3 linked regions of the Kluyveromyces lactis genome follow. The protein of the gene in region 3 purifies or fractionates together with the protein of the main gene of each other region. This does not show direct contact. Links are inferred from orthologs where the notes say so. Each region holds a gene or a part of one and is shown on either strand. Other genes may lie near its edges.

What was found. Proteins that work in one complex are often made in the same cells at the same time.
Region 1: the proteins of PRP8 (region 3) and SYF1 purify together in Saccharomyces cerevisiae (affinity purification with mass spectrometry; 5 studies listed by BioGRID). This does not show direct contact. The link is inferred for Kluyveromyces lactis from reciprocal best matches to the Saccharomyces cerevisiae genes PRP8 and SYF1.
Region 2: the proteins of PRP8 (region 3) and PRP3 purify together in Saccharomyces cerevisiae (affinity purification with mass spectrometry; 5 studies listed by BioGRID). This does not show direct contact. The link is inferred for Kluyveromyces lactis from reciprocal best matches to the Saccharomyces cerevisiae genes PRP8 and PRP3.

Annotation. Positions count from the first base shown.
Region 1 is NC_006037.1:173,380-184,909, forward strand, and holds SYF1 (mRNA splicing protein SYF1), read right to left. Parts: upstream 7,476-11,530; coding exon 5,079-7,475; downstream 1-5,078. Other genes in the region: MAK10 (Mak10p), read right to left, coding at 238-2,598; AFG1 (Afg1p), read left to right, coding at 3,436-4,959; VMA8 (H(+)-transporting V1 sector ATPase subunit D), read left to right, coding at 7,895-8,725; KLLA0_A02013g (putative aminopeptidase), read left to right, coding at 8,947-10,068; RML2 (mitochondrial 54S ribosomal protein uL2m), read right to left, coding at 10,241-11,446. UniProt on the Saccharomyces cerevisiae protein: Involved in pre-mRNA splicing and cell cycle control.
Region 2 is NC_006041.1:824,356-834,915, reverse strand, and holds PRP3 (U4/U6-U5 snRNP complex subunit PRP3), read right to left. Parts: upstream 6,673-10,560; coding exon 5,398-6,672; downstream 1-5,397. Other genes in the region: AHC1 (Ahc1p), read left to right, coding at 1-551; DDL1 (putative carboxylic ester hydrolase), read left to right, coding at 840-2,729; protein-arginine N-methyltransferase SFM1, read left to right, coding at 2,972-3,610; MCO10 (Mco10p), read right to left, coding at 3,803-4,030; HSP10 (Hsp10p), read left to right, coding at 4,753-5,070; TMA17 (Tma17p), read left to right, coding at 7,399-7,881; RRT6 (Rrt6p), read left to right, coding at 8,610-9,383; exosome non-catalytic core subunit RRP42, read left to right, coding at 9,778-10,560.
Region 3 is NC_006037.1:470,301-481,830, reverse strand, and holds the end of PRP8 (U4/U6-U5 snRNP complex subunit PRP8), read right to left. Parts: coding exon 5,466-11,530; downstream 1-5,465. Other genes in the region: bifunctional ATP-dependent DNA helicase/ssDNA endodeoxyribonuclease DNA2, read right to left, coding at 1-3,494; KLLA0_A05302g (uncharacterized protein), read right to left, coding at 3,953-5,074. UniProt on the Saccharomyces cerevisiae protein: Functions as a scaffold that mediates the ordered assembly of spliceosomal proteins and snRNAs. Required for association of BRR2 with the spliceosomal U5 snRNP, and the subsequent assembly of the U4/U6-U5 tri-snRNP complex.

The DNA of each region.
Region 1 (11,530 bases), about 290 kb from region 3:
TTTCTCTCAAAACTTCTCTTTCGGGAACTTTTTTAAGGGGAATGAAAATACACCCATACATATTATACAAAATATATGGAGGCACTGATGTTGCACAGTCTCATGTTTTCTTGTTTATTTTCGTCTGTGAACCCTTCACGGTCACTATCACACAGGTAAATTAGGGTTCATACAATTACCGATTCAGATGTACACTGATATTTCTATATGGCCGTTTATATACATGCAATATCACCATTATGTGGTGTGTGGTAAAGCATTTCTTGCTTTCTTAGGTGAAATTGTCAACAATGGGAAATAGTAGCAACCGTTAGGTGTGAATTTGAGTTCAACGTCGTAAGTGGCATGCAAGTCATGTGACTTCAAATCTTCCGACAATTTCGTCTTTAACACGGATGCATTGACACTCAATGCAACAGTTGAGTTAAGCATTGATTTATACCATTGTAACGCCGGTTCTTTCACGTGTTTTGTGCCGGTAGAAACTGGAGAATCATCTGTTTCTCCAGTCTCTATGGTTTGTATGATAGTAGATAGTGCACTCTTGGCAGATTCTAATTCAGTATTCATAAAGTTCAGAAGTTTGGGTATCTTGGAATGAATTGATGGTGGTTCAATGACAAAATCGTTTAATGACTTTTGGAATTGTTCAAATGTGGGGATCTCGGGTATTCCAATTGAGGAAAAGGTCTTAAATCTAAGTTTATGTATGAGTCTATCGGAACTGAATCGGGTAGACACATCATTCTTAGAATCTATTACGTTGAAAGATTTAAGTAGTGCAAATTGGAATACTTGAGCCAGGGAGAGAGACTTAAATATTGTGCATTTCATGAAAAAGAAATTGACAGTTCTCTCGTTTAGTCTTAGTTGAGGTAAAACATTATCTGTTAAATGTCTATAGCGCGCTTTAGCATTCTCTTTCTTTTCGCCGGCCTTGAGTTTCTTTATTCTCTTATTGTAATTCAAAATGTAACTGATCTTCTGCAACAGAAACTCGTGCAATCTTTTCAAGTTTGATTCCAAGTGACTCGACAAGTAATAACAGAACCAGTACTGAGTAAAGGATTCCCAAGGCTTGTAAACTTCCAAATGAAATCCTTCTAAAGTGAATTCTATCATCATAAGCAACTTTGTAGTGTAAATCCATGTTGAAACTGGCATCAATGGGATATTCCCCATGTTTGTAATGCTATCTACAATTCCCATTGATTGCCATTGGGTTTCATATTGCTCAAATTGCGCTTGAACGGAGTCCCAGTCGAGTAATAGTCTATTAAATCCTTGCCGATGCCTACATGAATTTTGTGGCATATTTTGATACCAACGAAGGAGGCAATATGAGAGTTCATTCAAGGCTTCTATCATATTATCGCGATCTGTTGTTTGCTCGCGGCTGGATATTACATCGTACAATGCTGTTCCTGCTAATGAGAACTCGTAAAGGTGCATATCCTTGAACGTGTTAAACCGAAACTTGTCTAAGATGGTGTCTTCTCTAATTAAATATGATTGCAGTAACGCACGAGCCATGACTGTCCTTTGTCTAATTCGGTTGAAAAACCAAACATATTGTCTGATTTCGAACGCTGTATTGCAATCTTTTACCGATAATGCCGCTATGATATCTCTCATGAATTCAGTATAAGAGACATATTCGTCTCCCTTAGGTTCAAAGAGATCCTTTGGTGGGAAGTTATTATCACGCCTCTTTTGAATGCCCTTGGAAAAACAACCAGGAGGGTATGAATGCTGCTTAGTAGTATAATCGTCTTGTACCAATGAAGAAATAATATCTAGTGATTTTTGCAAAGGTAGTAAGTCTGAAGAAACCGAAGACTGACATGAGGGATAATGATAATTGGGTAAGTGCAACAAATGTTTGACTAAATCAACAAGTTTTTGTAGATGCGTAGATTCTGAGTATGACTGAACTAACAGTTGCAACGAAGAGTTCAATAAATCTATTACTTCTTTTGTGTCCACGCCAGAGAGCATATCCAAACTCATAACGTTACAGTTCAAGTCTTCCTCCTCGTAAACACCACCATCTTTCAAAACTTTGGAAGTGAACTTTATGAATGAACAAACACCTATCACAAAGCTGCACAAGACTTGATCATACAAGGGGTCGCGCGTGCGTAATCCTTGGAACGATTGTAACGATGAAACCGGGTTCGAAGTGTATAATTCCATAAGAAATTCGACGTATCGACAACTTAGCACCGTAGTGGGTAGAGTTTGGTAATCATGAAGCCAATTCATCAAAGAGCGACATAATCGATCACAAACCGCAGTGACATAATCAAGCCTTTCTCCATTATTTGAGTCCCCGTATGGTACATTGCAGTCGAATTCCAACTCTTCAGGGCATAACTCAATAAGGCTTGTATCTAATTTCACGTTGCATACTTCCAATGCATAAGTCCCTTCGAACAGATTGAACGTAGCTTCTTTGACCACTGTCTCTGGTGCCAACTTCGCTGCTAGGGCCTTTAAATGATCTGTGATGTCTATAAACTGGGCTTCGTTTTTAGGATCCATTCGATGATCTAGCGTTAAATTCGCCAACTCTGCAATGTTATTCTCAACCACCATCAATAATCAGGAATGCTGGGAAACAAATTTAGTTGCCCCAAGATATCAAACCCTAAAATCTTGCAATGTCTAGTGCTACCGCAACTGTATATTCTGTTCTAATCTCTCTAATTCATGATATCGTGTGGAAGCCTTAAGCTATCTCACAAGTTAAATTAGGATTTAAACATTTAGTAGAAAAGAGGTAATAAACTCTACACAACATAAAACAAAAGTATCGGACCTAAGAAAAGTCAAGGTACTGTGAGAGCCATGCATTGTACAAACTATTCCCAGTTGCTAGAGGCACTTGCAAGTCTGGTACCCCACACTGTTTCTTAAAAACGTATGTTCGTTACGTTATTATGTACGCAAGAGCGGAGTATCTATTGGTAAATATCGACATGCATGCTAACAGTCATTCTCGAACAATTGATGATCTCTAGTTTTCACCAACCAAAGCAAACAAAGCTGTCAGTCATAGCTTTACAAGTCGAATTCAGGGTATTCAGATAGCGACAGGGAGGGGTGGGGAGGAAGACCTTTAATAGATAGAGATCAGCAGCATGTTTCTACTGTAGAATAAGAACCCGAAATCGGAGAAAAAAAATTAAAGCGGCCTCAGAGTGGGGGACATTGAGAAACTATCACTTCAAACCGATGCCCCACTAACAAGTATTTAAGTAAAGGCCATGGTGAATGTTAGATATTCACTTCTTAGCAATTGGAAACGTTTTGTATTAGAGCTGCACTTCCGAATTACTATTTGTCCATAAATAATACACTAGTTACTCTATCGTTAATTAAGGTAGATACAATCTATTGCAATTGGGAAAAGGTCATGTACAAGGACAAGCGATGCTGATATTTTCACAGGGTTGTAAGAAGGTTCTTGTCAGTAGAGTTGGCAGCGGTCTTGTTGAAAGACCAGGGTATACCTTTGGACTTTTCCAACAAGTATTGGCACAGCGGTGGGTTTCTCAATCTGCGGATGTTACGGAAACACCGTTGTCGAAATATGACGAGTTGGTAAAGCTCGGAAAATTAAGAGATGATCCGTATCAGCGGAGTATCATCAAATCCTTAGGTCATTTGCACGACTCTTTGGTTTCGTACAATCCGGAACCAGTACAACCACCAAGCGTGCTAGATCAAGTCGGCTGGAAAACAGGGTTTCTTGGGAAATTATTTGCAAGGAAAGAGAAGTATTCGACGGAGGGTGTTCCTAAGGGTATATATTTATACGGTGATGTAGGATGTGGAAAGACGATGTTGATGGAGTTGTTCTATTTGACAGTTCCTCCAGCTTTGTCAAAGAAACGTATACATTTCCATCAGTTCATGCAGTATGTGCATAAAAGATCTCATGACATTATATCCGAACAAAATTTCGATGCTTTGGGTGAAGCTAAGGGAAGAGATATCGACCCAATCCCATTTCTAGCGGCAGAGATTGCAAACACTTCTAGAGTGCTTTGTTTCGACGAGTTTCAAGTGACGGACGTGGCAGATGCCATGATTTTACGGAGGTTAATTACTACATTGCTTTCCAAAGAGTACGGTGTTGTACTCTTTGCAACGAGTAACAGAAAGCCAGATGATCTTTACATCAATGGTGTTCAAAGAGAATCGTTTGTTCCATGTATTGAACTGATAAAGGAAAGAACCGAAGTGGTATTGTTGGATTCTCCTACCGATTATCGTAAGATTCCAAGACCAATTTCATCTGTTTATTACTATCCAAGTCATAATTTATCCTATTTTTCAAAAGAGTGTGAATTGGCGAGGAAATTACACGTACAGCAATGGTATAGTTATTTTGCCCAACTGCATCGTCCCAGTAAGTCAGAAAATGGCCATGACATTGTATATAACTATCCATTGACTATCTGGGGTAGACAATTACTCGTTCCTAAATGTACACCTGGGAGAGTAGCACAATTCACCTTTAAACAATTATGTGGAGAACCTTTGGCTGCTGGTGACTATTTAACTTTGGCTAACTCATTCAAGTCCTTTGTTGTCACAGATTTGCCATACTTAACCATATACGTACGTGACGAAGTTAGACGGTTCATTACATTCTTGGATGCAGTTTACGATAACGGTGGTAAATTAGCTACCACTGGTGCAGATGACTTCACCTCACTATTCGTGGAACCAGAAGATATTGTCAACGACTATGAGCTTAAACCAGCAGATCAAATGAAACATGAAGATGAACCTGAAGTAGAGGATGAATTGGTCAGTAAACACGGATTTTCTAAGGATATTGCCAAAAAAGCACAGATTTTCGCATTAGATGAAGAACGGTTTGCATTTGCAAGAGCCCTAAGTAGATTATCCCACATGAGTTCAACTGATTGGGTCGAAAAACAGTAAGATACTAGTGTTTTTGTATGTTACACGTCATCAAAGAAAGACAATACGACATCTTCCAAAACAAAACATAAGAGATTGATCGATATGCCATTATCAACTTTAATCAATATATATCCATTTTATAGACCTAAATCAATTTCAGCCGTATTTGAGTATCCTTTATCTTCTGCGCTTGGTGGTCCGCTTCCACTAATTTTCGCAGTTGACGCCCTAAATTCGATGCTATCTGCATGTCTGGATACTTCCTCTGTATTTACTTTCATTGTGTCCTCTAGGAACCTACGTGCTTTTAGCATGTTCTTGAACGAGTCTTTTGTACCGTGCATAGTTTCGAAATTCCTCCAGAAATCCCAAAGTTCTTCATTCTGTGCGGGCTTCAGTAATTTGCTCCCGTAGTCTAACAATGCTCTACAACGAGCAACCTCATTACGCGATTCTTCTAAGATAGCAAATGGAAGTAGAAACTTGATTGCTTTAGAATTGGGCAATGTTTCTATACATTCTTCATATAGTTTTCTGGTGTGATTGACGTCCAATTGTTTTTCACTTCTATTGATGCATTCTTCCCATAAAGTACATTTACTTTCAAGATCCGAAATATTCTTGGCTCCTTTGTGCAAAATCTCGACACTTCTCTCGTGGAAACCAAGGTTTAACTCAAAGTCGCTGTACTTTTCAAAGAACGAAACACATGCCACTCCTGAAGCTGCAAGCTTAATAGCAGATTCAAAAATATCTCTTTTTTGCTCTTTAGTGATATCAGCTTTGAGTGCCACATCCAGATATATATCCCAAATAGACTTCGATACGCTTGGAGGAAAAATCTCAACACTCCTTTCGAAAACAGCCAAAGCTTCTGCTTGATGGCCAGAAGATTCATTTAATAACGCATAATTAATAAACATGGCTGGTGTTGCTGCCTTGATGAGTATTGCTGTTTCATACGCATTTACAGCTGTACCATAGTTTCCTTTGACCTCCAATAAGTCAAGGTACATTGCCCATAAGCGTTTAGATGAGAAAATTGCTGCTTGTGCTGGCGATTCTCCTTTCTCAAATTTTTGTAGGAGTAATTCATGATTATCTGGTATTTCTAATACAACGGACAAAACTTTTATGGCATCGTCAATGCTTCTTTTTAGTCTGTATTCACACCAATATAACCAAACATTTTCAAGATCTACTAAAAATTTGAAAGGGACGTTAGTGGCTTTGTCCAGCAAGACCTCGGATTTTTCAATATCCTCTTCAAAAAGTCTGCAATATTGACACCATAATTCTCCTAATAGCCCTGGAGTAGTCTGAAGTCTATAGTCCACGGTAAGAACAGCATCTGCATAAACTTTAGCTTTATCAGAGATGGTATCAAAAAGCTTCACTCGTTCTAGCCACAATTTGATGTTGTTGGGTTCTCGCCTCAATTCTAAGTCGTTTAATCTAATAGTGTGGTTTTTTATTAATGAGGTTAGAGTGTCGGCATGTAGTCTTATATTTGCGAACAGCCGTTGCTTTTCTGAATTATCGTCTTTCATCTTTTGAATTAATTCTTGGGTCAATAGCTCCTCCATACGAATCCAAAAATCATATAATACAGAAAATTCGATAATGTCTTTAGTTTCGCTTATAACTTTCTCTAAGTACAGCTCAGCTTCCGTTATTTTTCCTTGACGTATCAGGTTAAATATCAAATATGTCTTAAGTTCACCCTTCTTGAAAGGGAATAATTCGATACATTGGTCCACTACCGCAGCAACCCCTGCTGAATTATCCACAAGAATCATTGAAGTGATGTAACTAACGTAAAGTTCAAATAAACTTGTCTGAGATGGCTTTAAATTAGGTGATAGATGTTTTTCAAATACTCGAACGATCGTGCTCCAATCATGAGTCTTAAAAATGTAGATCAATAAAGGCTCTATGTCGTCACAAATAAGTGAATATCTCTGTAGGATTGAGGAAGACCAGAGGTCTGTATCAAAATTCGTCGAATGCTCTCCGTGAACAAAATAGTAGATGGAATCCTCTAAAGAAAGTTCATACCTCTTGTTGTCTATTAACAATTCATTGATAATGAAATCGATGACAACACGCCATATTGCTTCATGGTACTCCCACGACATTGATCGTAGCGCTTTTCCAAGCAGTTCTCTAATCCTCTTCAAATCCTTAAACTGTATTACCCATTCCATATACATAATCCATGCATCCCCAACTTTGCCACATGATGTTAAGCACTGTTCGAATAGTAACGATATCTTATTGTATTCATCTTTGTGCCTGAAAATATCACAATCGTTCAATAATTCTATCCTCCATTTCAAGAACTCTTTCCATAGATGCCAGTCGTCCTTGATCTCCTTCAAACAACGTTCGTATAGCCAATCTAAATTCAACTCATCGCCTGCTGATCTTTTAGTTGCCAAATATCTCGACCATGATACAGCATTGTCTCTTTCTCTAACAACACCATACTCAAACGGAATATCTTCCTCCTTGACAAATTTATCTATTTCCATCGAAACATATGTCTCTCGCAGTACCTGGTGGAAAAACAGTGCACTAACTTTACCTTAGATGGAGCTTTAATTGTAACTCATCTCATTAAACGTTTTGACATATCACCGTAAATGAAATAATATCTAAATTTCGAAATTAACCAATTTTCAAAATATCTGAAATATAAGACATTCAATCATTTGACGAAAGAAAGGTAGAAAAGGGGGGCATATATCAGCTGGGGCAGAACGTTGCAATTAGGCTGGCACTGACAAGTATCCAACCTGGAACACATTTACTTGTAATCGTTTGCTTTTTCTTTGAAAAGAACTGTTTTTCTACTGTACCAATCAGGTGAGTTTGGTACTAAGCGTACTGATAACATATTACAGCAAGGAAGGAACGACTTCACTCCTAGCATCTTGAATTTTATCGAAAAATGTCTAGTAATAGGGAACAGGTTTTCCCCACTCGTATGACCTTGGGTCTTATGAAGACTAAGTTAAAGGGTGCTAATCAGGGTTATTCTTTGTTGAAGAGAAAGTCTGAAGCATTAACGAAGAGATTCCGTGATATCACTAAAAGAATAGATGATTCAAAGCAGAAGATGGGCAGAGTGATGCAAACAGCTGCGTTCTCTTTGGCGGAGGTCACATATGCTACAGGTGAAAATATAGGGTACCAAGTTCAAGAGAATGTTGCCAATGCAAGATTCAAAGTTAGGGCCACGCAAGAAAACGTGAGTGGTGTGTACTTGCCTCAATTTGAATCATTCATCGACTCCAACATCAACGACTTCAAAATGACAGGTCTAGGTCGTGGTGGTCAACAAGTTCAGCGTGCTAAGGAAATTTACTCAAGGGCTGTTGAAACACTAGTTGAATTGGCTTCGTTACAAACGGCTTTCATTATCTTGGACGAAGTTATCAAAGTTACCAACCGTAGAGTGAATGCCATTGAACATGTGATCATTCCAAGAACGGAAAACACCATTGCTTATATCAACTCCGAGCTAGACGAATTGGATAGAGAAGAGTTTTATAGATTGAAGAAAGTGCAAGAAAAGAAACAGATTCAAACTGCTCAGTTGGATGCTGAAATGAAGCAGAAGAAATTAGATGAAGCAAATGCTGAGTCTGAAGGTAAACCAGATTCTCAAGAAGCGACCAAAACTGGCGTAGAAGCTGCCGACACACAAGAACAAGAAGAACAATCTGGCCCACAAGTAGAAGCTCTGATTACCGAACAAGAGGAAGATGTCATCTTTTGATCTTTGGTTTCTCCCTTTCTCCATTATTGTATATCAATGAATATCATTTTCCATAATATGTACACTAAACTTCTAAACAACGTTAGTTCTACTTAGATGTCAAAAAAACCCTTTTTCCCTTCAGAAACAAGTGGATAAATACTGTATTAAAAGGGACAGTACAAGCATCTACCGGTGTATACTTTGCTTCAACTCCGTAGCAAATATCAGATTGGCTAGTTATGAAGTTTGGGTGGTTCTTGTTGGCAGCTTCTGTGGCAGCTTTGCCATTTGATAGTTTACATGTTCTTGAGATCGAGGAAGGTAAGACTATTATGGTACGAGAGACCGAGAAATGGTCTCTCAAGAGGAAAGGAGTGCAATTCATGGATATTACCAATTTTCCCAAATTACTTAAGTCCAAAGATGAAAAGGCTGTTGTGCCAGTGTACCGTTATCCGAAGGAAACTCAATGCGACGAAATTGTAAATTCGTTGTCCAAGGGAGTTGATAAGGTTTCAATGCATGATAATTTGGCAAAATTCACAAGTTTCTACACTCGCTATTACAAATCTGACACGGGGTACGAATCTGCTGTTTGGCTCTCCGAGAAATTATCTAACATCACTAGTCCATTGAACAATGACGTTGTCATTGAACATGTTCAGCATAAAGGTTGGAAGCAATTCTCCATCATCGTATCGATTAAAGGAGCACAAACTCCCGAGAACATTGTCGTAATGGGATCGCATCAGGACTCTATGAACCTTTTATTGCCATCGATACTTGCTGCGCCAGGAGCTGATGACGATGGATCTGGTACCGTAACCAATCTAGAGGCATTGAGATTATACGTTGAACATCTCTCTACAACAGGTTACAGACCCAATAACACCATTGAGTTCCATTTCTATAGTGCAGAAGAAGGTGGTTTACTAGGTTCTTTGGATGTCTTCACCAGGTATGCAGAGGAGAACAAAAAAGTCGTCGCAATGTTGCAACAAGATATGACCGGATATGTTGAAGATCCAGAAAATGAGCATGTTGGTGTCATTACTGATTATACCACGCCAGGTCTAACTGAATTTATTAAGTTGATTATAAGAAGATTCTTGGATATTCCTTACGTGGAAACGGAATGTGGATATGCATGTAGTGATCACGGAAGTGCAACGAAGAATGGATTCCCCGCTTCCTTTGTCATTGAAAGTGAGTTCAACAAATCTAACAAATACATTCACAGTACGATGGACACTTTAGACAGACTTTCATTTGATCACATGGCCCAGCATGTAAGGTTAGTCGTTGGTTCCTTATTCGAACTTGGGAACTGGGAATTTAAGCTGGAAGAAGAGACCAAATGATGCTCTGGATGTAGTAATCTAAACTTTGTTTAAAATAGAGTTGGTAACTGAACAGATGTTATGTTATTTCTTTAAATTAACTAGTTCTACGATATTTACAGGATGGAAGTCATTGAAATAAGTTTACAAAAACTGATGATATTTAAGATAGGATCAGTTGTGGGGAAGCTTATCATTGTCTAGCCTTTCTACCAGCCTTACCTCTTGGTCTATCTTTAACCTTCATTTTGTTTTGATGCTTACCCCTTCTTGTCTTGTAACCCTTGGCCAATTGACCCCATGGAGACATGGACAACTTTTTGGACTTAGATTTACCTCTACCACCACCGTGAGGATGGTCACATTTGTTCATTGCCACACCTCTGACAGTTGGTCTTATACCCAACCATCTAGATCTACCAGCTTTACCTAGAGAACGGTTTTGATGGTCAATATTTGAGACAACACCCATGGTAGCTGCAGCTTCCAATGATACGTAACGGTGCTCACCACTTTGTAGACGGACAACAGCTTTATTCTTTTCTGGGATCTTGGATAAGATACGTGCGTAAGAACCAGCAGCACGACAGAACTTACCTGGACCTGTAGGAGTGATACCAATATTATGAACGATGGATCCGATTGGGATCATAGAGATTGGTAGACAGTTACCTCTTTGAGCTGTTCTAACAGATAAGATGGCAGGATCGATCTTCCCACCCATTTCTTTCAAAAATGATGGTGGAATACCTTTTCTGTATGATTCGATGGTATCCCCAGCTCTTAGCCCATCACATGCTAAAATGTAGCTTAGGGCACCAGTATCGTTATGTTTTATCAATGCAATATGTGCACTTCTACCAGGATCGTATTCGATTCTTTCCACAGTTTGCATACCAGATTCGAAACGACTGAAATCGACTGTTCTCAATCTTCTTTTATGACCACCACCACGATGTCTCACCGTGATCTTACCACTATGGTTTCTACCACCATTTCCTCTCTTGGCAAGAGTCAAAGATTTAACAGGTCTTCCCTTATGCAAATATGGATAAATTGGCGCACGGTACCATCTCAAACCTGGAGAAACCGGTTTCAATTTCTTCATTTGTGTAACTTCCTTAGCCAACTTTCTTCTTCTTCTTAACAATTCGTCTTGCTTCTCTAGTGCTACCACATCTGTGTTATTAGGAACGATTTTCAACATATGGACATTGACATCGTCAACTGAAGATTGTTCTTCATTCCCGGTTGGAGTGATGCTGGCCATAGATCTGATTCCACCAAGTGAAGTATTGTTCAAAGACATTATCATCGAAACATTCCACGGAACTTGAACTCTTGAGGAGACGCCGCTGGCAAGCGGCGTCAGGCATCTCAAGTTGAATTGCTTGAACATGATATTATATCCAGAGCACCTAACGAGATTCTTAGGGTAAACCGTCTAATACCAATATCTCCGCTTTGCTACTGCCCTTCACAG
Region 2 (10,560 bases), on a different chromosome or scaffold from region 3:
TAAAACATTTTCTCCACTATCAGTCACAACCCTTAGCGGTGCTCAGTAACCAGGTTATACTTCCGGATGAAAAGCAGGATCCAGAGATCCTAGCGAAGTTCAAAGAGTTAAAGAAAACTCCAAAGGATAGCTATTTGGCTTCGCCGATACCCTTACAACATAATGACAAAAAAATTACGAAAGACACGCCGAAGGCAACCTCGGTAGCTGAAGAATCCGCCCTAACGAAATCAACGACCCATCTTCAGAAAATGTATGGCAAGGACGATTTCAAGGATATAATCAACTACGTCAAGGACGCAAAGAATGATCTTGAAACGATAATGAAATATGAGGATGAGGAGGGTTTAGGAACCGCTTCAGAAGAAGAAGCAAAACCGAAACCTAGAAAAAGGAGTATGCTCAATGAACGGAATAAGCCTGCCGAAAAGAAAGCAAGACCAGATGTCATACATGTCACCGAGAATCACATTCCTGAGGAAGAAAAACGTTCTAGACATTATAATCTTCGTGCTAAGTCAAAGCTTAGGTCTTTCAATCGTGATGACTGAACGAAATTCAATATTTAAGGAACGAAAACACTATGTAACCATATAAATTAAAGAACTTTAATTGACTCCAGCGGATTGCGTTGCCAGCAATGTTTAATGCAATCACTTAGGTCGAATGTTTTATCTATTCAGTCATCCGTAACTTAAAAAGTTTTCCCCTATTGTCATGCAAAAAGATAATATTTTGAAAAATAAACTAGAATGAAATAGTACCTTGACGCTGGCCTACAATCCGTACAGGATTGTGGTAAAGTGCTTGTTATAAAGGAAAATATATGGGGAAGCTTGATGAAGGTGCGGGCTATGTGGAAAGAAAATAGGCGCTATTTCTCATCTAGGTGGTTTTATGCAATTGACATTCCTAAAACCAAACCTTTTGAATCAGAGTATGTACCAAAAACGGCACCTTTAAAATTTCAACCGTTCTCCAAGGTCGACTCCAAACGGATTGAGGACCTCTATACCCAGAAGAATTTCAGTAGGAAACTTGATGTTAATGAGGATCATCTTTTCGAGGTTGATCTGGAAAAGTTTTCTATGAATCCAATCTATTGGGACGGACCATCCTATGAAATACGAAGAGGTATCTGGTTTGATGACCAGAATAGGCCGTTGAGTCATGACTTAACCAAGGCTATTGAAGAATTACATCAGCAGTGGCTCTCTAGGGACAAAGAGAAATCTAAAACCACTGAACTTCGTGATATTTTCCGATTACCAAAAGATTCGAAATGGAAATACGTTATGTTTTTTGAAGACGATAGGACCGCTTTTTTGTTGCCAGATATCTACGGTGGACATTTACAGCTTACTATCCTACGGAGCTCAGTGGCTCAACTGATTCAATTGGGTGCATCCAAGCTTACCAAGGGCTATGAGGAACCATCTTCTCTAACAGAAAGAGCGAAAGAGATCGAGGGTCAAGTTATCGAACATGCGATGGGGTTAGGTAAGATATCCGATATGATCTCTTGGGAATTTAGCGACCTTGTGAAGTTCCCAAACGAAGAAAATAACAGTAAACAAGAAGAAGATATGATGAAAGATGAAATGTCAAAGGATTATGACAATGGTGATTCAAGTGAAAAGAGTCATTACAGACCAACTAACCATCTCGTTCTCTGTGTTCATGGTATCGGTCAAAATTTGGGTAAGAAGTATCAGTACGTTAACTTTGCGCATACTGTAAACCTATTACGGAACAACATCAAGTACTTGTATAAATCGAATCCTTCCTTACAGGAGTTCAATTCCGCAAGAAAGTTCCCTGATTATAAAACCAATAGTGGAACACAAGTTCTTCCAATTACGTGGAGGCATGCAATAGGATTCAATACAGACGAGACTAATACGAATCGTGACAATGAGGATTTGCCAACATTAGCAGATTTGACGGTAGACGGCATTAGACCTTTAAGAAAGTTGTTGGGTGACGTTGGCTTGGACATTTTGCTATACGGTGATGATTTTTACCTAGATAGAATCCTAAAGCACGTCACAAATGAATTGAACGATGTATATGAGAAGTATCGTGAACACAATCCTGAATTCGATGGCAAAGTCAGTTTACTGGGTCACTCTCTCGGATCCGTCATCTTGTTTGATATTCTTTCTCAACAGTCTAAGTTTCCGTTGAATTTTGAAGTTGATAACTTCTTCGCTATTGGTTCGCCAATAGGTGTATTCAAACTTATACAAAGAACCAAAATTGGCGAATCTGATTCCTCTACAAGACAGCAAACTCCCGCATGCAACAACTTTTACAACCTATTTCATCCCTGTGATCCGATTTCCTATCGAGTTGAACCACTAATAGACAAAGTCACTGCTAATTATGAAGCAGAATGGATTCCGCATGCGACCGGGTACGACTTCATTGCTGACACCGTGAAGAATTTGATGTCAGATAAAAATCTAAAAGAGAAAGAACTCATGACCCAACGATTACTTTCGAATTTGTTGCGCTTTAACAGCAACGGGCGTGTTGACTATTCTTTCCAACCCAATTTATTAGACGTGGATGTCTGGAGTGCTATAAAATCTCATGTCAGTTATTTTGAAGACATGGATACTGCAGGATTTTTGCTGAAGGAAATATTGAAGAAACACGTTAAACCTAAAACTCATGAAATAACTAAATTAAAATCAACCAAAGTAGAGACAAAGAAGACAAAATAGAGCATTATAAAAAACATTGTATAAAATATGTATAGTCTTGTTGAGAACTAACACTAATGGCGAGCAGTTGATCTGTCGCTTTTTCATTTTCAGCGTAGCTCATAAATTTAAATGCACTGTTGCCAAATCGAAACAAAAATGGAAAATCAAATGCGATTTTATAGAACCTTCGACAGATTATTGCGATGAGCACAGCAGAAAGATCAAGAAGCTGACCCAATACAGGAGCAAGCAAATTAAGTATGAAGTACATTATTGAGCACATGGAGCAAGGATTCAGTGAGTGGGTTACTTTAGAGTATGCTCAAATCATTCGTGATATTGGCAAGGATAACTTAATTCTTTCGTCATTACCAGAAGATACCGTTGAGTCCGATATTCCAAAGAAGCTCAGGGAAATGGGATTGCAGTGGACCACTGCGAACCTTGATAAAATCAATGAAGCGTTCCCAGAATTACCAGAGCTAAAATCTCAAAGAGTCTGTCTATTAGATCCAAGGGCAAAGACCGATTTGATTCCATCCGATGCTCAAAATTATGATTATTTCGTCTTCGGAGGTATTCTTGGAGATCATCCACCAAGAGACCGTACCAGAGAACTTATGGAGCAATACCCAAACTTACTCGTCGGAAAAAGACTAGGGGACAAACAAATGACTACAGACACGGCCATCAGAACCACCCAAATCATCATTGAGAAACAAACTAAATTTGAAGACGTTAAGTTCATCGATTACCCAGAATTCAGATTCAATAAGAACGAAGCTACCGAAATGCCATTCAGATATGTATTCAACTCTGATGGCCAGCCGATTCTACCGGAAGGGATGCTCCAATTAATCAAAAAAGATTCCGAGCAAAGTCTAGACGATCTATTCTGAGATAAACACAAATCAATGTAATAACTTTTAAGTATCCTATAATTATCAGATTACATGTACATATGTATATGAAAAAAAGGGAAACTGTTTTAATACTGAGACTGTGTAGGAGGTCGTGTTTCATTTTGAATATCGTTAAAAAATCGTCATCTATAGAAGGGGGGTAGTTCAAATACCTGATCTTTATTGAATTTATTTGGATTCTTCCTTCAAGAAATCACCCAACAACTTTTCAACGTCAAATTCGTCGGAACCACCAGCAGCTGGAGCAGCTGGAGTAGCAACAGCTGGCTTGGCCTTTTCAGCATCCTTAGAACCAGACATGGCGTAAGCTGCACCACCGAAAACAGAGCCCAAGGTAGCTATGGCTAAAATATGTGGTTGAACAGTCATACCGAAAATCTTGTAAGCAGCACCCATTATTAATATGTATGAAATTGTAGTGTTTGGTACAGTTTTTATGATTGAAATGGAATCAGCCCTAACCGGTGTTGAAGGGTTAAAAAAATTCACATAAACCAAGTATAACACTTGCTAACCTTGGAACGAAATCCTTTAATTCTTAAAAGCTCATTCGAGGAAGGTCAGTGTCTTTATGCGAAAAGAGTGAAATTCTGCGACATCTTCTGTGTGATCCCTTCGAATTTCACCTCGAAAACTTGGGCCAAAAGACGTTCGGAGTGATTAAATTTCATGAAAAAAAATTGTAAGTCACGTGGACAACATTTTATTTTCCTTTCCTCCCTTACTGCCCCCTTCCGGCAACATAAGGCCCTATGAATTGTGACTTCAACATGCTGTGAACCACCATTGTTTAAGCTCTATATATTGTTTTGACAACTCCAAAGCGGCGCCCACTACCAGCTAGTCATTTAGCCCGCATCATTGCCATGTTCAGTAGTTTGTAGTTTACTGTCCACATGGAATTTTCTAGCATCACCGAAAACGGGAACCTTTCTGACATGAAAGTTGAAATTTATAAAAGGCTATAAAGCTTACACACTTTACAAAATGAAGGATTCGACATTTTTTCAACAATAGAGTGCCAAGATTATATCAAAGTCAGCGTTTGTACAAGATCCTTGATCCTCCTCGATTGATATTCTTCCCCTAAGAAGTAATCACTATAATAATAGGTCAAAATGTCCACTCTATTGAAGTCTGCTAAATCTATTGTTCCATTGTTGGACCGTGTTCTGGTGCAAAGAATCAAGGCCGAAGCCAAGACTGCTTCTGGTTTATACTTGCCAGAAAAGAACGTTGAGAAATTAAACCAAGCTACTGTGTTGGCTGCTGGTCCAGGTTTCACCGATTCCAACGGTAACAAGATTACACCATCTGTCCAACCAGGTGACCAAGTTTTGATCCCACAATTCGGTGGATCCACAATCAAGTTGGGCAAGGATGATGAAGTCGTTTTATTCAGAGACTCTGAAATCTTGGCCAAGGTCGTCGAATAAAGGTCTCGAACGTTACACCAGAATTAAATTTAAAGAACGATGTTATGAGCCAGTATCTTTCTCTGTTATTGATGATTGAATTTTGAGAGACGAAGGGAGATATTATTTATATAAATATGACTTTTTTTTGATGTTGGTAGTGATAAAACTCAATAATGTTGACCATTGTGCGTCACTTGGACTGCCTACTCACCCCATGTAAATAAATGTTCTAAGTAGGTCGTTGGATTTACTCCGGTTTTATTTTTTTTAACATACACTATTACTTTTATTCCAAAATTTTGATGATTTCGAACTTGGATTTCATTTTCAGTACGTAATTGTTTGTTAAAACTTACCTAATGGTACAAAAGTCAATGCATCGTGCTGCTCTAAGATATTATTTAACTGGTTTTTATCTTTACAATCGAGCATGAACCAGCCCTTGAATCTACAATCACCAATTAATCCTTGCCAAACCTTTGTAATTTTACCGTCGCAAGGTACTGTCTCTTCGGTATCTCTATCTTTGTATGGTTCCGACCAATTGATTCGCTTTGTCACCAACTTATCGAAAAAGCGGATAGATTTTTCATCTCCAAAAGCTACAATTATACCTTTGCCATTTTGAATGTGTAGACAGCATCCTTTCAACTTCAATTGCTTACCGTTGGTTTTGATTTTGTATCTGATACTAGGATTCTGTATTTCGTCAAACATGTAAACAACACACGTGTATTCTAGAGGACTATCATTGCTGTGTGCTTGTAACTGGGATTCCTTCCTTCGTTTCAGGCTTTCTTGATGCCTTATTTCATTTTCTTCGAAATGTTTCCTTTTCCTCTCTGCCACTTGTCTCCGTACGATGGATTCCCATTGAGTTGGATCCGCAATATTGGCATCATTCTCATACACATTCATCATATTCGATAATTTAACCTTGGGCTCTGGTTTTGGTTCTATACCAAGCTTGATTTTCTCCTCCTTCTCCTGTCGTACCAACTTCCTCGTATTCCTTCTGGCCTTTTTCCGTTCGTTTTTCGTTAAGAAAATCTCTGCCACTGGAACAGCTGCCCTAGGCCTTTCAATCGGTACCGGATGTTGAATATACCTAATACTTGGGAATTTATCTTGTGCACCTTCCTCTTCCTCTTCCTCTTCATCATCACTTTCATCGTCCGAATTCAATGTGGAATAATCCAAACTATATTTCTCATGGATGCTACCATCTTTGATATATGGAACATCCCACCATTCCACATCAGGAACGTCCGATAAATCGGTAAAATAAACTTCTTCATGCTTATCAGGTAGTTCCCCTATTTCTATTTTCCGTTCGATTTCCTGCTGTTTCTCCAGTTCAGCTTCCCATCGTATTCTTTCTTCTTCAGACTTTTCACGGTTCTCTTGTCTTAATTTTGCAGCATGCTGGACAACCTCTCCCGGTTCATACCAATGAGACGATACTCTTGCCTTTGGCTCAAAACCATGAGCCTGTACGTCTTGCAAGTATGGGTTTCCACAACGTCTACCTTGAAATCTCAATAAATTGACATTCTCAACACTCAATGCAGAATGCAATTTCCGATTTAACCCTCTATTAGTATTATTATCATTGCCCATTATATGATGATATGATTTTTGTACAAAGGGCCGATTATTCCAGACAATCCGTAGTTACTATTACACATCACCATTTGTCTTTTGTCCATCTCTTCTCTAGCATCGCAATGAACTCTCTCTCATATAGAATCTGAATCACATCTTCACTCTGTAACGCCTATGATGAAATTCACCATGCCCGGGTAATATATCCGAAATTGCACCAACCCCTGATTGTGCGTAGTGTATGGGTGGAAGCCAAAACAGCACAATTTTTCTGTTTTATGGGATGAAAAGAATTACATAAGCGGCCCCTAATTCTCGTTGTTTTTGTGTTCCTCGTGAGTTTCTCAACTCTTTGCTGAAAGGGACAAAGTTCAGTTCCCAGAGAAGGACTTAGGCGGGGAAATCCAGCCCAGGAGAAAGGAAAGCAGAAAAGCTGATGTGATTTTTAACAAGTAGTGTTGCTTTGGAGCTGGAAAAAGTCAGCATAGTAACGTGCGCATCATACACTCTGATTTGCAATGATGGTGCCTCGGAGGGGTGGGTGTCATATGTGGGGCGTGATATCTTACCGTTGGGTATAAATAGTAAGAGAATAAACTCTGGCTTAAATTATTGTTATAAAAGGCTAGCTTGAATATATAGTTAAGGATACCGATCTTAATTCATCTCGTACTTTCCAACCGAAACAAGACTAAAAAGTGAAAAAACATACATAGCTAAGGATAGACTTAACATAGAAATATGGCACATTCTTCTGGTATTCGTAGACCAATTCAGATTCAAGAGTTCGTGATTGCTATTAGAGAATCGTCTGAGCATGAATTACAAGAGATCAGAAAAGAGATCAATAATGCAGTGAAGCATTTACAAAGATCTAACAGAAGGTTAGAAGCGTACGTTGCCAAGCTTAAGGGTGAAGAGGTATTGAACAGACAAGAATTGGACGCGGAAGGGAATTTTTCCGATGATGATATTGATGAGAAGGATTTGCAAGTATTCCAAGACTCATTAGCGGAAAATGGAAAAGTATTGGATAATTATAACGAAAGGCTACAAGCTTTGGACCTAGAAGAACAGCACAGGGCTAGCACTGTATCTTCCGGTGACATCCAATCGGCGTCCACAAAATTAAAAAGATCTTTGCAATCTCAAGGCCGGAGAACCGTTGGCGTGGATTCAGATAATACTGCTGATGCCACTGGTTCCAATAGCATTAACTTATGAACCCATTCCAAACAAAATATATATAATGTACTCATATATTGAAGTATAGTAAAAAAAAAATGAATGAAAGCAAAAATGCATGTTTAAAAGTGTGGGCTGGTATGACCTCGGAAAACTGTATACTTTCAGAGATGAATAAACGCACCCGTTCTGGTTTCTTTCTCTTAGTTTCGGGCTGGTAATCTGCTGGGAAAAACCCTGGAATGAATCTGCTACAGACCATTCTTAACATTTAGCTTTTTCTGTTTCCAGCAGGCTGGGCCGTTCTCTGTGGCATTCATTTTCTTCCATCTGTAAACGTCGATGCGAAAAAAGTCTATCAGGTTCACGTTAACATTTCATTTCATTTTGATATGATCGACATATATACTGTGCCATGGCATGAAAATGTTAAGAACACTTTTGGAGAAAAACATACAGAGAGTCGTTTTGACAGCAATTATTCGGTTGGAAAAGTGGGAACTGCCTGGGTTAATGATTGGTCTCCATCTATAAAGCATCAGGTTCAATTCAAATCGAAACAATTCTTTTTTTCCCTTTAAGGTTGTTTCTCAGTGCTTCATACGTGTTGTCAATATCTTTTTGTGTTCTTATTCGGCCAGACAAAATTTTTTTTTTGGGTCTAATCCACAGCTTTCGCTTCAGTAATTAGATTGTGGTCTTTTCGTTTGTTATTATACCCAGTTCATTTCGTTCCAGCTAGTAATTTTTTTGTTCTTTTTGTTTAAATGGTGATATCGTTGATATATGTCCTTTTACTGATATGTTCAGTTGTCTCGGAGACCCTTAAACTGCCGATAAACCCAAATCGATTAGAATTCGATTTGTGGCCATATAAAAAATGGGAAGTTGACGGCTCGAGTGACGCGTCTAGTTATCAAACTTGTTTCGAAATGAATACGAATATTAAGGCCAAGGATTTACAATTCCTCATTGAAATTGAAGAATTTACTAAATGGAAAGTTAATGTGGATAGGTTTGGTCCAACTACGAGTTCAAAGGGAAAACAGGTTGTCAACATGGATATTTATGACGAAGACCAAAATTTGGTACAGTCAAGACATGGTTTAGAGAATGGGGAAACTGTGCTTTACGTGAGCGTATACGAACATCAGAATTTCCAAATATGCCTTATCAACTTTTCATTAGACTCCTCATGGAATGCCATAGATAGTGTGAAGCAAGTAGCAATTAGCATCACGTCTAATGATCTGATTCAGAAACAGAAGTGGGATTTGATTACTGATGATGATCTCAATTTGTTATCCCAGGGTAGAGATGACCTGTTTTCGTTGGTCAGTGCGGATTCTGGCCAGGAATTGCATGCTTTAGATGTCGATCATAGAAATCTCAACGAATCAACGTTCTCTTATCTACTGGCAAAAGTCACAATATTATTCTGCATCATTGGAGTATGTCATTTGCTGGTATTTCCAATCTTACTGTATAGAATCGTTAGCAAAGGGCAACCGACCAAGAACAAAAATAAAATCAAAAGATAAGGAATAATTATGTCCATAAAACAGTTGATGTATTTGTATATATATTAAACATCAGCACCCTGTATCAGTACAACTTCAATATCAGTCAGTCAGCATTCATCGTATGTTAGTACTTCGAACCGTGACTGACACCTGACAGAACATCTCACTAATGGCCAATTATATCCGGGTAACACCGAATATTAATGTGCATTAGCGAAAAGAAGAAATGAAAAATCTGAACTAATTTCAGTATTGACTTATATGAGCTTGAGATGAGATGCAATGAGATGATGAGAAAAGGCTTATTTCCCTTCTATCAACAGCAATAGAAACATCTGAGTTTAAAGCGAGTTATCTTCTCACGAAGCAGACCCATCTCGTTAAAAAAAAAATCAAATAATATAAGAAGATAATGGGACTTTCGTTAACTGAAAAATCGTTCCTATACGATTCTCTAACATTAGATCCCCCATTAAGACCGGATGGAAGAGGTCCACATCAATTTAGACCATTGGAAGTATCTACTGATTTCCTTCCCAATTCTAATGGATCCAGCCGTGTGATATTAAGCGGAGGAAGCGAGTGTATAGTGAGTGTAAAAACTAAAGTCGTGGACCATACGGTAGAACAAGAATTGCTTGTTGCTGATGTCGACATCCAAGGCCACAGAGATGACTCTCCATTGGTTACCAGCATGTCTTCACTATTATCCAAATTGCTCAAACAAACTATTGATCAGAAAAAGCTAATGCTCACGAAAAGGTACAGTTTCAAACTTTACATTGACGTTTTGGTGCTTGCCTCCAAATCATACCCGATCTCAATGATATCTTTCGCCATTTTCAGCGCTTTGAAAAACACATGGCTACCGAAACTAATATCGAACGACGATGACTTAGAAGTGGAGGAGCTACCCACATTCCATGATTACGATATGGTTAAGCTAGAGGCAGATGCTCCTTTATTGTTTACGTTCGCAATTGTAGGAGACGGTGTTTTTGTGGATCCAACTTTTGAAGAGAGCATAGTATCGAACAATGGCCTTCTAATTACGTGGTACAAAGATAAGGTTACTTCTCCGATAAGATCTGTTGGCTTGAATAACGATAATATCAAAGGGTTCAGTCAGCATCATTTAGAACAAGCGTTCAAGTTAATTCGTCAATACGCACCACATATTGAAAAAGCTTTGGAT
Region 3 (11,530 bases):
TCAAAATCACCATTTCGCATTTGTAACCACGGATCATTAATACCGAGACACGTTACACCGACCACTTGTGCTGCATCGATTATTTCCGACAAGTTCTCGTTATCACCATCTAACATCTCTGTTATGCAATATGGTTTGACCAAATCATGGACTCGACGTCCAGATCCCAAACGTACCATCTTAGAGCGAGGGATACGCGAAGTTAGCTTCATTATAATATTATCGACAGCTGAATTGGTGTAGCTTGTCACCATGACAGATTTTCCCTGATTTACCAATATTGAAACTAATTCACAAATAACTGATGTCTTACCAGTTCCAGGCATTCCTAAAATCAAGTTGTAGTCACGGCAGGTGAGCGAACGTTCAATCGCCATTTTCTGGTTTTCATTAAAGCTGTCATTAAGAGTTGGTATTCTGGCCGCATGAGTCGTCCATTTCGGTTCGGAAAGCTCTACAATGAGCCTACGACCCCTGCTGTAACCCCCAAGAGATCTTTTAACAGGAAGCTGTAATTTTTCTCCAGATTTTTGCGGTGAGAATTCAGCTTCAATAAGGACTTCTGGAAGAAAGAGATTTAGAAGGTTGTAACGAGCCAAAGTAAGTCCTGTAGCACTCTCATTTTTATCAATACGATATCGGTGACTATTTGTCAAGCTTTGTTTCTCGTTCAATGGCTCTTTTTGTTTAAGTAAAACACTTCGAACTACTTGTCTCGTATTTCTATCAAAAGAATCACCATGAATATTGTTTGCCAGAATGTTTCTCGCACAATTTATCACAATGAAATCGTTAGCGATTTCAGAGACATGACCAGTTCCAATGGCTAACTGGCCAGAGGTGTCGTTACTGATCATTATATAATCTCCTTTATGGATATCTGACGAGAGCATGCTAGGTGGAGCGCTCTTGAGTTTCTTGGTCTCCTGTTGTTCTGCATTGGAAGTGGCAAATGACCCTTGAATATCGTTTTCGCGGCAGAAAGTGTACAGATATCTCCCGTTTCCCTGATCCTGTACATTCTTTATGGTAAGCTGACTTATGCAATGTCCTGTTTGAGCCTCTCGATCTGTGCCCGACATAAGGAAAGTATCTTTAGTGACACTTGTTATGCTAGTTTCTTCCATCATTAAAAGCCTATCGTACTTGCCGTAAAACGACCGAAAGAGCTCTAGGACCTGTGAGCCTTGTGCTTCAAGATGTCTGGTTAAATCAGTATATTCATGCTTTAGCAATCCTGGCGTTTGTTCTTTGTCACTTAACTTGTTGAGCACCATGCAAGATGTCTTCATGAAACATTGATCGCACTTGGAGTTCTGTATCATTGCGGGTAATTCATGTTGTGGTCCACCCCAATCAGACATCTCTTCATTCATTACTTGTAGGTATGTCGCAAGTTTATTTCTGAGGTTAAGCAGATGCTTTAGCGATATTAAAATTTTGGGTTGTAATGAGAACTCTCTTAGCTTAGTATACAACATCATGTGCAAATTTACAGGGATGTCATATCTATCCTGGAGAAGCAATGTATAAATTAGACCCTGTGCCTCGTGTGCATTAGATTTCCATTTCCCTGTCTTTATCTCCACGGGAGCTAACAACTTTTTACCGTCTGAATCAACATTCGTCTCAACAGTGACATCTATATATCCTTTCAATCCATACTTTGATGACCAAATGTTCTCTTCAATATCAACGATCTGAGAAACAGATAATTTACGTTTATTTTTTGTTCCAATTACTTGAATCCAGGACCTTGAATTGTCCTTAGTGACATAAATGTTCACAAATTCTATGATAAAAGGTAAATGCTCATCTGAAATCGTTTTAATCACTGATTCGACAGATTCTCCACACATATTCACCTCCGTAGTGAATGGTTTTATGACTTTGTCCAGAATTTCGAGAGCTAAGCCTTTTGAGAGAAACTGATTCGGCTCCAACAGCTTCAATTTTAACACTTCCTGGACCAACGCGTGAATAATGTTACCTAAGACAGCTGCAAGCGAGTATTCACCGGGTTCATTAAATTTTGAAGATAAAACGGCACGCCTTTCGCAATCCATGGCAGTCCCAATTGCAGTGGCAGAAAGAAGAACATCCGGATACACGATCAATAAATTATCATTTTCGAGGCCTGTTTTAGGGTCTTTGTCATTTGAAAGAAGCCGTTTATTAGGAAAGTGGTCACCTTCTATTAGGTGAATAATCATTCCTTGCTCGTATCTGAAACGAATCCATGGATCTCTGAGAATTAGGTTAACTTTTCCAGCATCCTGATTGAAGCATGTGAGAATTATTTGCGCTGGTGATTTCATTTCCTTGATTTCAAAAATACATAGTCTTTGACAGCCGCGTTGAGGGAATGGGAATTTAGCCAAGTTAACATACCTTTCAACCACATCGGCTTTGTTATTAAGCAGATGATCGGTTTGATTTTCATTTGATTTTACAGAGTCTTCCACATTTTCATCCTCTGATTCAAGCATAACTTCAATGCGTTCAATTTTTCTCACTTGAAGTTGAGGGAGTGTAGCTGGCTTTTCCTCATCAAGAAGTTCTAATAAGGAAGCATCTGATTCCTCTGATTCTTCATTGCATTCTGTGATGACTGGCTTTGTGAATCTTTGTGTGAGAATATCAATTAACGAATCGTCCTCATCCTCGTCGTCATCTATATTGATCTGAGGAGGATACATTGTGAACGTGCGTTCTATGCCATTAGTTGTAGTATGCTTATGATTTGAAATACTCTCTGATGCCAGCTCCGGAAGATTTTCTACAGGGTCATCGTCTATAACAACTGGTTCCGAGCAAATTGGTGAAGAAGGCGGAAGCAACTTAGGACCTTCTAAGTCGTTTAAAATTTCGTGTATATCTCTCATAGGTGTGACATCCTTTTCTCCTCTTTTTACAGGAGATCCTTGTGCAATTTTCCTGCATTCTTTATCAATGCTGTTGGGATCCATGTTCTCAAAATCAATCACATCTTTAAACTTATCGTTGATCAATGGAGTAGAAGATTGACCTAGAGGCATATCTTGACTTAATTCATCGGAGTTATTATCGTCGTTTCCAGTATTATAATGGTTACATAATTGCTCATCAATTTTCCTAGGAGAGTATCTCCATATTACTTCTTCCGACGGACCATCGCTATACCTCGTTTCTGGCACAGCTTCAGTCGATTTTTCCCTTCTAGTCTTTGTGCTATTGATAATTCTTTTAGATGCAAGCTTTGTTTTGCCACTAGTTTTCGCATTGACAGTATCTTTGACGGAACTTCCAGCTTCCACATTTCGTACTCTTGAGATCGGTATCGATTTCAAAATTGGTTCTTCACTGCTAAGCCGGTTCAGGGGGGCAAAATGGTAAGATTTACTTGGTTTCTTTTTAGGTTTCCCTTTATAATCCACTGAAATAGCATCCGTATCCTTCTTAAATGGCGATATAGAAACACTGGCGGTACGTTTTTTCTTTGGGGTAGAAACCATCGTGTTTCCAGTAAAGAATTCAAAGCCTTATTGCTATTGAGTTTGTACAACAGTATGCTTCTTTTTCTGCTTCTTGAATCCCCACCATTTGGGTTACCACCAATTCACTAATCCTAAAGTTGACTGATTGGCAGTTGGGCTTTTCTCTCTTCGCGTTTGAAGATATTCAAATAGTTCTTCTTATTCGCGATATATTTATGTGTATTGTTTTAATATTTACGTTTTTTAGAGATCAACATTTTCTGATTCCAAACCAAAACATTGCGCATGGCAAAAGGCAATCGCAGGGCTAGGGTACGACTTACATTGGATGTATAGAACCGACACTTTGGTCCTCTCACAAATATTGATGCATTTTCGTGCATTCCTTTATAAATTATATTGTTTGATAAACGTCATGATAATGAACGGAAACGGTGAGTTGATACGTCAGAATTTTACGTACGAACGCGTTAGTATTAAGTATTAGGTTGAGTTCTTTTCGTTAAATTGAGGGATTGATACGGGGTAAAGTGATCTGGTGTAGACTTCTTTAATTTAATGACACTGTCCTGTATGATTGTGGATGGTTCTACTAGGCCGTTACTAGCTTGATTGAGATTGAGTTGATAAGTTTTAGAGTTCGCCATACTGATATGTTGATCCGGACTTTGTAGACGTTTCGGCAGTTCGTTTTCATCATTGACTATATGTTCGTCGTGGTTGCTTTTATCCATAAAAGAATCTCCCAATTCGATGAAATCATCGTTCATTCCTGGAGCGAACTCATCTCGTAACCCAATTGTGGAATAGAAACTTTCAATATCTGAAATCAGTAAATCTTTCTTCTTTTTGAGAGACGCTTCCAGTTCTTTGCTAAACTTCGGTACTCTTTTGTTTGCTGCAGCCTTTAGCTTCAGTAAATTTAGCCTCGTCTTCATGAGTATACGGGATGTCTGCTCATATAATGCCATTCCAAGCTTTTCTTCATTCATTTCTGATGCAATTGAATCGATTGCCGTTAGTTCCCGTTCCTCTGGCAGTGCGAACGACCTATTTTTAGTATTAGAAACATTTGGTGCAGAGGTACTTTGATTAAATTCTGTGGCTTCGGTTTCATTTTGTGATAGCTTTGGTGTCTCTTGCTTTTCAATAGAATTTTGGAAAGCAGTTGGCTTTGTAAGTAAATTCTCTTTAACTGCTATTTTCACATCATTCTCTTCATTTGACGATATGTCACCAGAGTCAATATTAACGGGTAGTCTAAGGGCATTATACATTTTTGATAGAAAGTTGTAATTTGATTTGGAGCCTTTTTGTACTTTGTCAAACGAGTAACCTAATCTCGTTAGTTCCATAATGTACTTAGCTGCGTTCATTTCATGACCAGACATTGGGAGAAATTTAGAAGATTTATCAGAGTTAGATGTTTGATTCGCGTTAGTAGAAGTTGCAGCTATCATATGATCCGTTTTTTTAGGACCTGCTGCGTTGGGCCTGTTATATTTCGGTCCAGAGTTACCTGGTTTAAATCTCAATGGATTCTTTCTTTGTGGTCGTGTTGCTGCAGAGACATTTCTCTTGGTAGTTGTTCGCGCCATTATTATTTCACGGCTTCCTTTATTGAAAGTAACTAGTTTCTTCCAATATGCACCAATAATCACTTTGGTTAAACTGTTTGTTTAACCGTCTCCATCGGAGAGTCGATGTGCAATATCTTCAAGGGACGAAGTTCCTTGTCTACTTTTTAAATATTCAGTATTACCTCTCAGAGAGAAGTCACGTGAAAGTTTGGAAGTCAGATGGAACAAGCACATTATGACTACTTCACTTTTATGATAATATGAAAATCGTAGAGCCTAAAACGCCATTCCAAACCGTCTTATACGGTTGATGTAAGGGCAAATGCAGGTCAGATGCCTAATATAAATGTAAAATGGTTTTAAAAAAATATATAACAATTATAGAGAAATTATCTGTATTCTCCTTCGCTTAAGCGAATAGATTTTCTTGATCCGGTTCTAATTCCTCATCTCCAGCAAGTTCAGAGAATTGTATGAAGTGAGGAGCACGATGGAGTTCATTATAGAACTCTAGTGGGATGTCTAATTTCAATTCGTAAGGTAGATCTTCGCTAAAAGCAGTTCCCATGAAAGCGTAATTCCATATCGATGACGAAGGTACCAAGAAATTGCCCATAATGCGTTCAGATAATAAAATCTGTGCAGTCTCGCTAAATGAAGCTTCAAACCCTTCTGGTGAAGGGTCCGTTATGTCTTTCGATTGTAAGCCCCAGTTGAAACCCGTAGTGCTTAACGTATATCCTGTAATTGATACGGCACCTGGGATTAGATTTATGCACAAATCAACAGCACTTTCGTTATGATCTGAAAACATTTTGGAATGAGTGATCACTTCAGATGGTGACATGAATTTGGAATCGACTTTTTGGGTATGTATCCATCCCAACAGTTCCATGTCGTTGAGATATTTGGAAGATGAGGGGGGAGGAGATATGCGAACAGTTGCGGAACTGCCGAGTTGAGGGACAAGTGCTATCGTCTTAATTTCCTTCACATTAGGGTGATCTTTTACAGGTGACCCGTACATATACCCTGCAATTTGGACATCGACATCAGCTATTGTGACAAACTTCTTCAACAAGTTCCGTGGGAATACGAGGACATCTTTATCTTCTACAAAATCTTCGGCAGTAACATATATGTTCTTAAGCTTCAAATGTAGCAATGAATTGGAGATTGCATTTGACCGCCAAGCATTTTTCGAACTGAAAGATTGGGACTCATAATTGCTGGATGACACCACTGTAATTTCTTCACCTTGAGCATTGATTGTTTTTAGCTTCATGGCTGCCGTGGCAGACTGCGACGACTCATCAGTTTTCTGATTTCTTGCAGCCTCCAATTCTGCCATCTTCTGCCTCTGAACAGATGGAGCTCTAATGTTCTGTCCTAAAATCAAATTCTTGATTTCAGTTTGAGTCAAAGAAGCAATGTTTACATTGTATTTTTGACCATACTCTAAGAGAATTAGATCACGCATCTTCGTCTCAATTTCAATCCACTGATCATCAGTAAAAGAAGGCCATAGATGATTAGCTCTCGTTGGGATTGTAGGATCCTCTAATAGAATCATTTTGGCTTTTTCTTCATTGGTTTTGAGCGCTCTTAATAGCAATATCAATCTAGAGAAAGCAGTGTAGGCAGAAACTCGAGTTAGCCAGTCATCATAAATGTTGAACAAAACCATCTGCGGTTCTGTAGCGCTTAAAACAACATCATTTAATTTTTCTATGTTCAAAACAGAAGAAAAAGGTAATCTGAGCTCAGTTGGACGAATCGAAATGTTTGGGAAATCTAACATGTGTACTTCCATAGGGTCCATCATAGCTTTTCTAGTAACTATAATTTGTTTAGGTTGTTCTTCTTTGGGTAACGATCTAACCAATGCACTTACTTCTTCTGCGGTTTTCCATTTTGCCAATTGAGCCAATCTGCTCTGCCCCGCCCACACCGAAGTGTGAATTATTTTCAAATATAGTTCACCTGTTTTCGGATTTAAAGTAAACACGCATCCGTTGATAGGCTTAGTAGCCACATTGCCTTCATAAGTTCTATGAACAGTGACCCGGTAAACATTCGTATCATCGATAAAGAATTTTGTGTCATTGGAAAATAGCTCTGCGTAGTTGGATGAGTTCAAAAATGGCTCTTGAACTTGAGATTGATATATCTGAAGACCTTTCCTGATACGCTCCCTCAAAACGTAAAGTGCTGGATTAGCTTTCATTATTGTTTTCATACCGTTGTGTATCAAGGGCTTCAATCCCTCAAACCACGTTCCATAGGAGTCGTAAATATTATAGGCCAAGTCAATACCGATCATAATACCAGTAGGAGACGGGTACAAGCTCACGTTATCTGTGGTGTAATCTAAAAATTTCGCACGGACATATCTTGATATATCATGAGAATCATAGTCACCATATCTAAGCTGCACATCGATCCACATTTTGTCAGTTGTGGTAGCGTCGAAAGAATCTTTCGTCTGATGCAACAATGTTGGTCTGCTAACCTTCCATTTGTAAATACTGTTCAATGTGATGTCAGCAGCAGACGAATTCATCTTATACGACTTACGTGGATGAATTGATTCTTTTTGAACAGATTCAATCTGTAGTATATCCATTTGGCCGTCCAGAATTTGACAGATGTCGAAAACCACACTTTCGTGGATTTTTTGCCATAGATGTGCTCGGAAAATTTGAATTAAAGATATCTTCAATGTTGGAATTTTACCGTGCAAGAATATTCCTGTTAAATCCAATTGCACCAAAAACCCAACGTAGACGTTCGCTCTATTAATCGTCGGAGACCACCATAACGTAAACCTACGATTAGGGATCTGACTCAAACCAGTTCTTTGTGCATGAGTAAGTTTCTTGAACTGCATTGAATCTTCAAAACCAGAGGCTTTCTCCCAGAAAAGTCCTTCCCATGATTTAAAGCCAGTTCCTTTAAATAATGTGTGCTCAAGAATTGTTTCGATACCCCCTAAGGCCTGAATGACATCCGTACGATAGGCATTCAAGTTCCATAATTTACCATCATGACGATTATTTGTCCACCAGAAAGCATTACTACGTTCCACTGAATACTCTTTGAATTGTCGCCTAATCCTGTGACCCTTATCATAGGCTAGCGTATGCCTATCTTTTTGGAATATGGTACTGATCCGCGGTATACCTCTATCCCAAGAACCCTCTAATTCTTCAAATGCCAACCTACGATTTTGTTTTATGGCTTCTTGTCTTTTAGCAGCATAATCCGCCCATACTCTCTGTGAGTCCAAAAATTCGTTCTCCCAGGTAGTAATGTATCGGAAAATTGTTGGTATCATCTTCTCATCTTCGTGGGACATCCCTGCCCTGAAATGTGTTATTCCAGTATCTGTGTGTTTTGACCACCTCAAGTCAGAAGCGGGAATTAAAATGTGCGATGCGCTGAGCATTCCCAAACCACCTAACTCTTTAGGTGTATAAAACACTGCTGGAGGGAACCTTGTTGGCATTTTAGAATTTAAGCCGAGTTTTACTCTATTTTGAACTCTAGTCTCAGATTTCACGAGTAAGTCGAGTAACGGTTCTGTCGTGACGATAGATTCTCTAAAATAGGTAAACAAAGCGATTAGTGCAGTATTCCATTTGCCCACAATTTTTGTAAAAGTTGTGGAGCCGGAACCCATCAAAATACTTTGAATACGACCTCTAAACTCATCAATAGCTTCTTGTGATACCTGTAAAAACGCTTTGGCAGTCCGTTCTTTTGTGGAGTCCAACACCAAATCCCATACACCCTCATCATGAGAAATGACATCTTCCATCCGAGATTTCGGTAGTATTCTCACCTCAAAACCGCACATAGTGAAAAGTAAATTAGGATTATTCTTGCTATAAACTGAAGAAAGAGTATTCTCCCACGTTATGTTAACAAGTGATTTTGGTACCCTAGATGTAAGTTCCCAGAAAACAGCACGACCTAGATTAACATCGTGTCTGATTAACCTCATGCGGGCGTCTCTAGGCCAGCATTTCTTGTTGTTATAACCAACAGAATTTTCAAAATTTGGATCGGGGTTTTCCATCAAATAGTCTTGGATAAGCTCATCAGACTCAGATTCTTCAAAGTGGAATAAAATATGGATTTTGTCAAGATAGCGTGAGTAGAGGCGAATTGGGCTCTTCGTTTCAGTAGCTTTATCTGGAAATTGCAAGAATTCAGATGGTTCGTTTGGAGGGCCTGCTAGTTCCTGTGCCCTTTCATGTCCCAAGATGAGAATATCAATCATTAAACCATAAAATTGATAAACAAATGGTGCAAATTGTAATCCCCTTATTAGACCATATTTGTTAACATGATTCATATCCTTAAAGATCAAACTGACATTATTCTTTGCAGTAATGTAATCCGCTAATGTCGGATCGATAATTAACCTTAGGAGCCTGTTTATTAGTGTCAAATCCATCTTTTCAACGAATTCTTGTAAATCAGTTTGCAACAATACGGTCGATTGCCCTTTGCTGATGTCCCATACAGAATCTAAGTTGTTAATGCCTTGACACCATTTGTAAACAAGAAGTGGCGGGATTTCTGAGTCACCTGGCTTTATCCAACTAGGGAAAAGCTGCCTTCTGTCAGCTTCATACCATAGATACTGGTCAAGATATGCATCGGTAATTTTCTCCAACGGATCAACGTTATAGACTGGAGATATGTGTTGATAATGATCCATCATTGTTAGTTGTATTGGCTTGAATAATCTTTGGGTTAGCAATAGTTTTTTAATTCTATTCAAGGTATCATGAGGATTGTCATATGCCTCTTCAATTAAAGCTAACTCTTCACGTTCCTGGGCATTTAGCCTGACTTTTGAAACGTATTGCTCTTTTAAATTCTCAAGTGCCAAAACCAAAATCTTCGTATCGTTTTTATAAGTCAAAGGAGGGAACGGGATAGGTGAGAAGTTCCTGGCATCAAGCCAATCTACCATTGCCGAGAACACTGCACTTGCTTCTGCTGGGGTTACTTCGGGACCTGCTTTCTCAATTTCCTTTTGCCTTTCCTGCTCATGTTTTATCCAAAGTCTAGTTAATCTGCCTAAATTTTTCTTCAATACAATTTTTTCGACATGGGCACCACTTTTGATTCTATCACGATTATAGTGAGCTTGAGATGTCCAACCGTCAGCTTTTGCTTTCACATATCTTTCTATAATGTTTTTTATTGGCTCGGGCATTCCTGGAACTTCCCAGGGAACATTGGCTTTCCAGCATCTCCAAGCCTCAGATAAGTGCTGTAAAATTGTCCTTGCCTTGCTCTGCTTTATTCCATCGGGAATCATGTCCAAAATGTCATTCATAACAGATGCTCGTAGTTCTAAGTCATAGTAAGCATCGAGTCTTTGTTTAGTAGTAGTTTTAACAACATCAGTTGATCTTCCCTCAAACTGACGAGTGAGTAAATTTCCTAGCCACCTTTCTAGAATCGGTATTATGCCTCGAAGGAAGAATATCCAAACTCTCCATGCAGGCTGCCAGAAACCACATCCTGGACCTTTCCCGATAATTTTATTGAATCTATAATACACGACATGTTTTAGATCTTTACATGTACGAATTTGATGCATGACTTTGTACTTGTACCTATAGATACCTGTGAGTTGTCCTGTGTGGTTCAAAATATAGTACAATCCATCAGCAAGCTGAAACGCATCGACATTTCCCATCCTATATTGAACATGAGAATCTACCAACAACTTTATTATTTTTAAAATTTCTCTTATTAAATGGAAAGCATTCCCAAATCTTGCCTTCTTTCTCTCCTTCGTTGTAAGGGTTTTAGTTGGCTTTAAATTGAAATTGTAATCAAGATGTAAGTACGTAAGGCCTTTTTTGTGAATCAAGAGATTGAGCATACTGTGACCTTGTTTGCAGACTTGTAAGCCGGCCTCAACCCAATCTATCGTTGTTTCTTGGAAGAATTTAGTATTTGCTAGACTTTGTAACAACTTAACTTTCTTTTTTGAAGTGTGGTCATCGGTATGGAGTTCATTTGCTACAATATTCTTCAATAGTCTTTGGTGGGAACTCTTTACTTTGTTAGGATATCTTTCATCAGGATGTTCTTGGTACCACCTTTTTATTAGAGCGACATCCTGAGCTCTGGTGGTTTTACCCGATCTTTTGTTGTATGGATATGGTGCATGATATAATGACATTGCTTCATTAGTAGTGGGAAAAAATAGTTCTTGTGTTTCCATTAAAGGTCTGACATCCATTGGAATCCTAAAAGAGTTATCTCTGGTGTTTTCTGCAGTTGTGTGGAAATGGGGCAGGGAATGCGAAATAGTTGGGTTGAGAGACTGTCCGAAAAAAAAGGTAGCAGATGAGTGCTCCATTTCAGATTTAACGGTACACGAGAGCGGATCATGGTACCACAATGTTTCAACAGATCTTGGTCGAGCTGCATATATTTGAG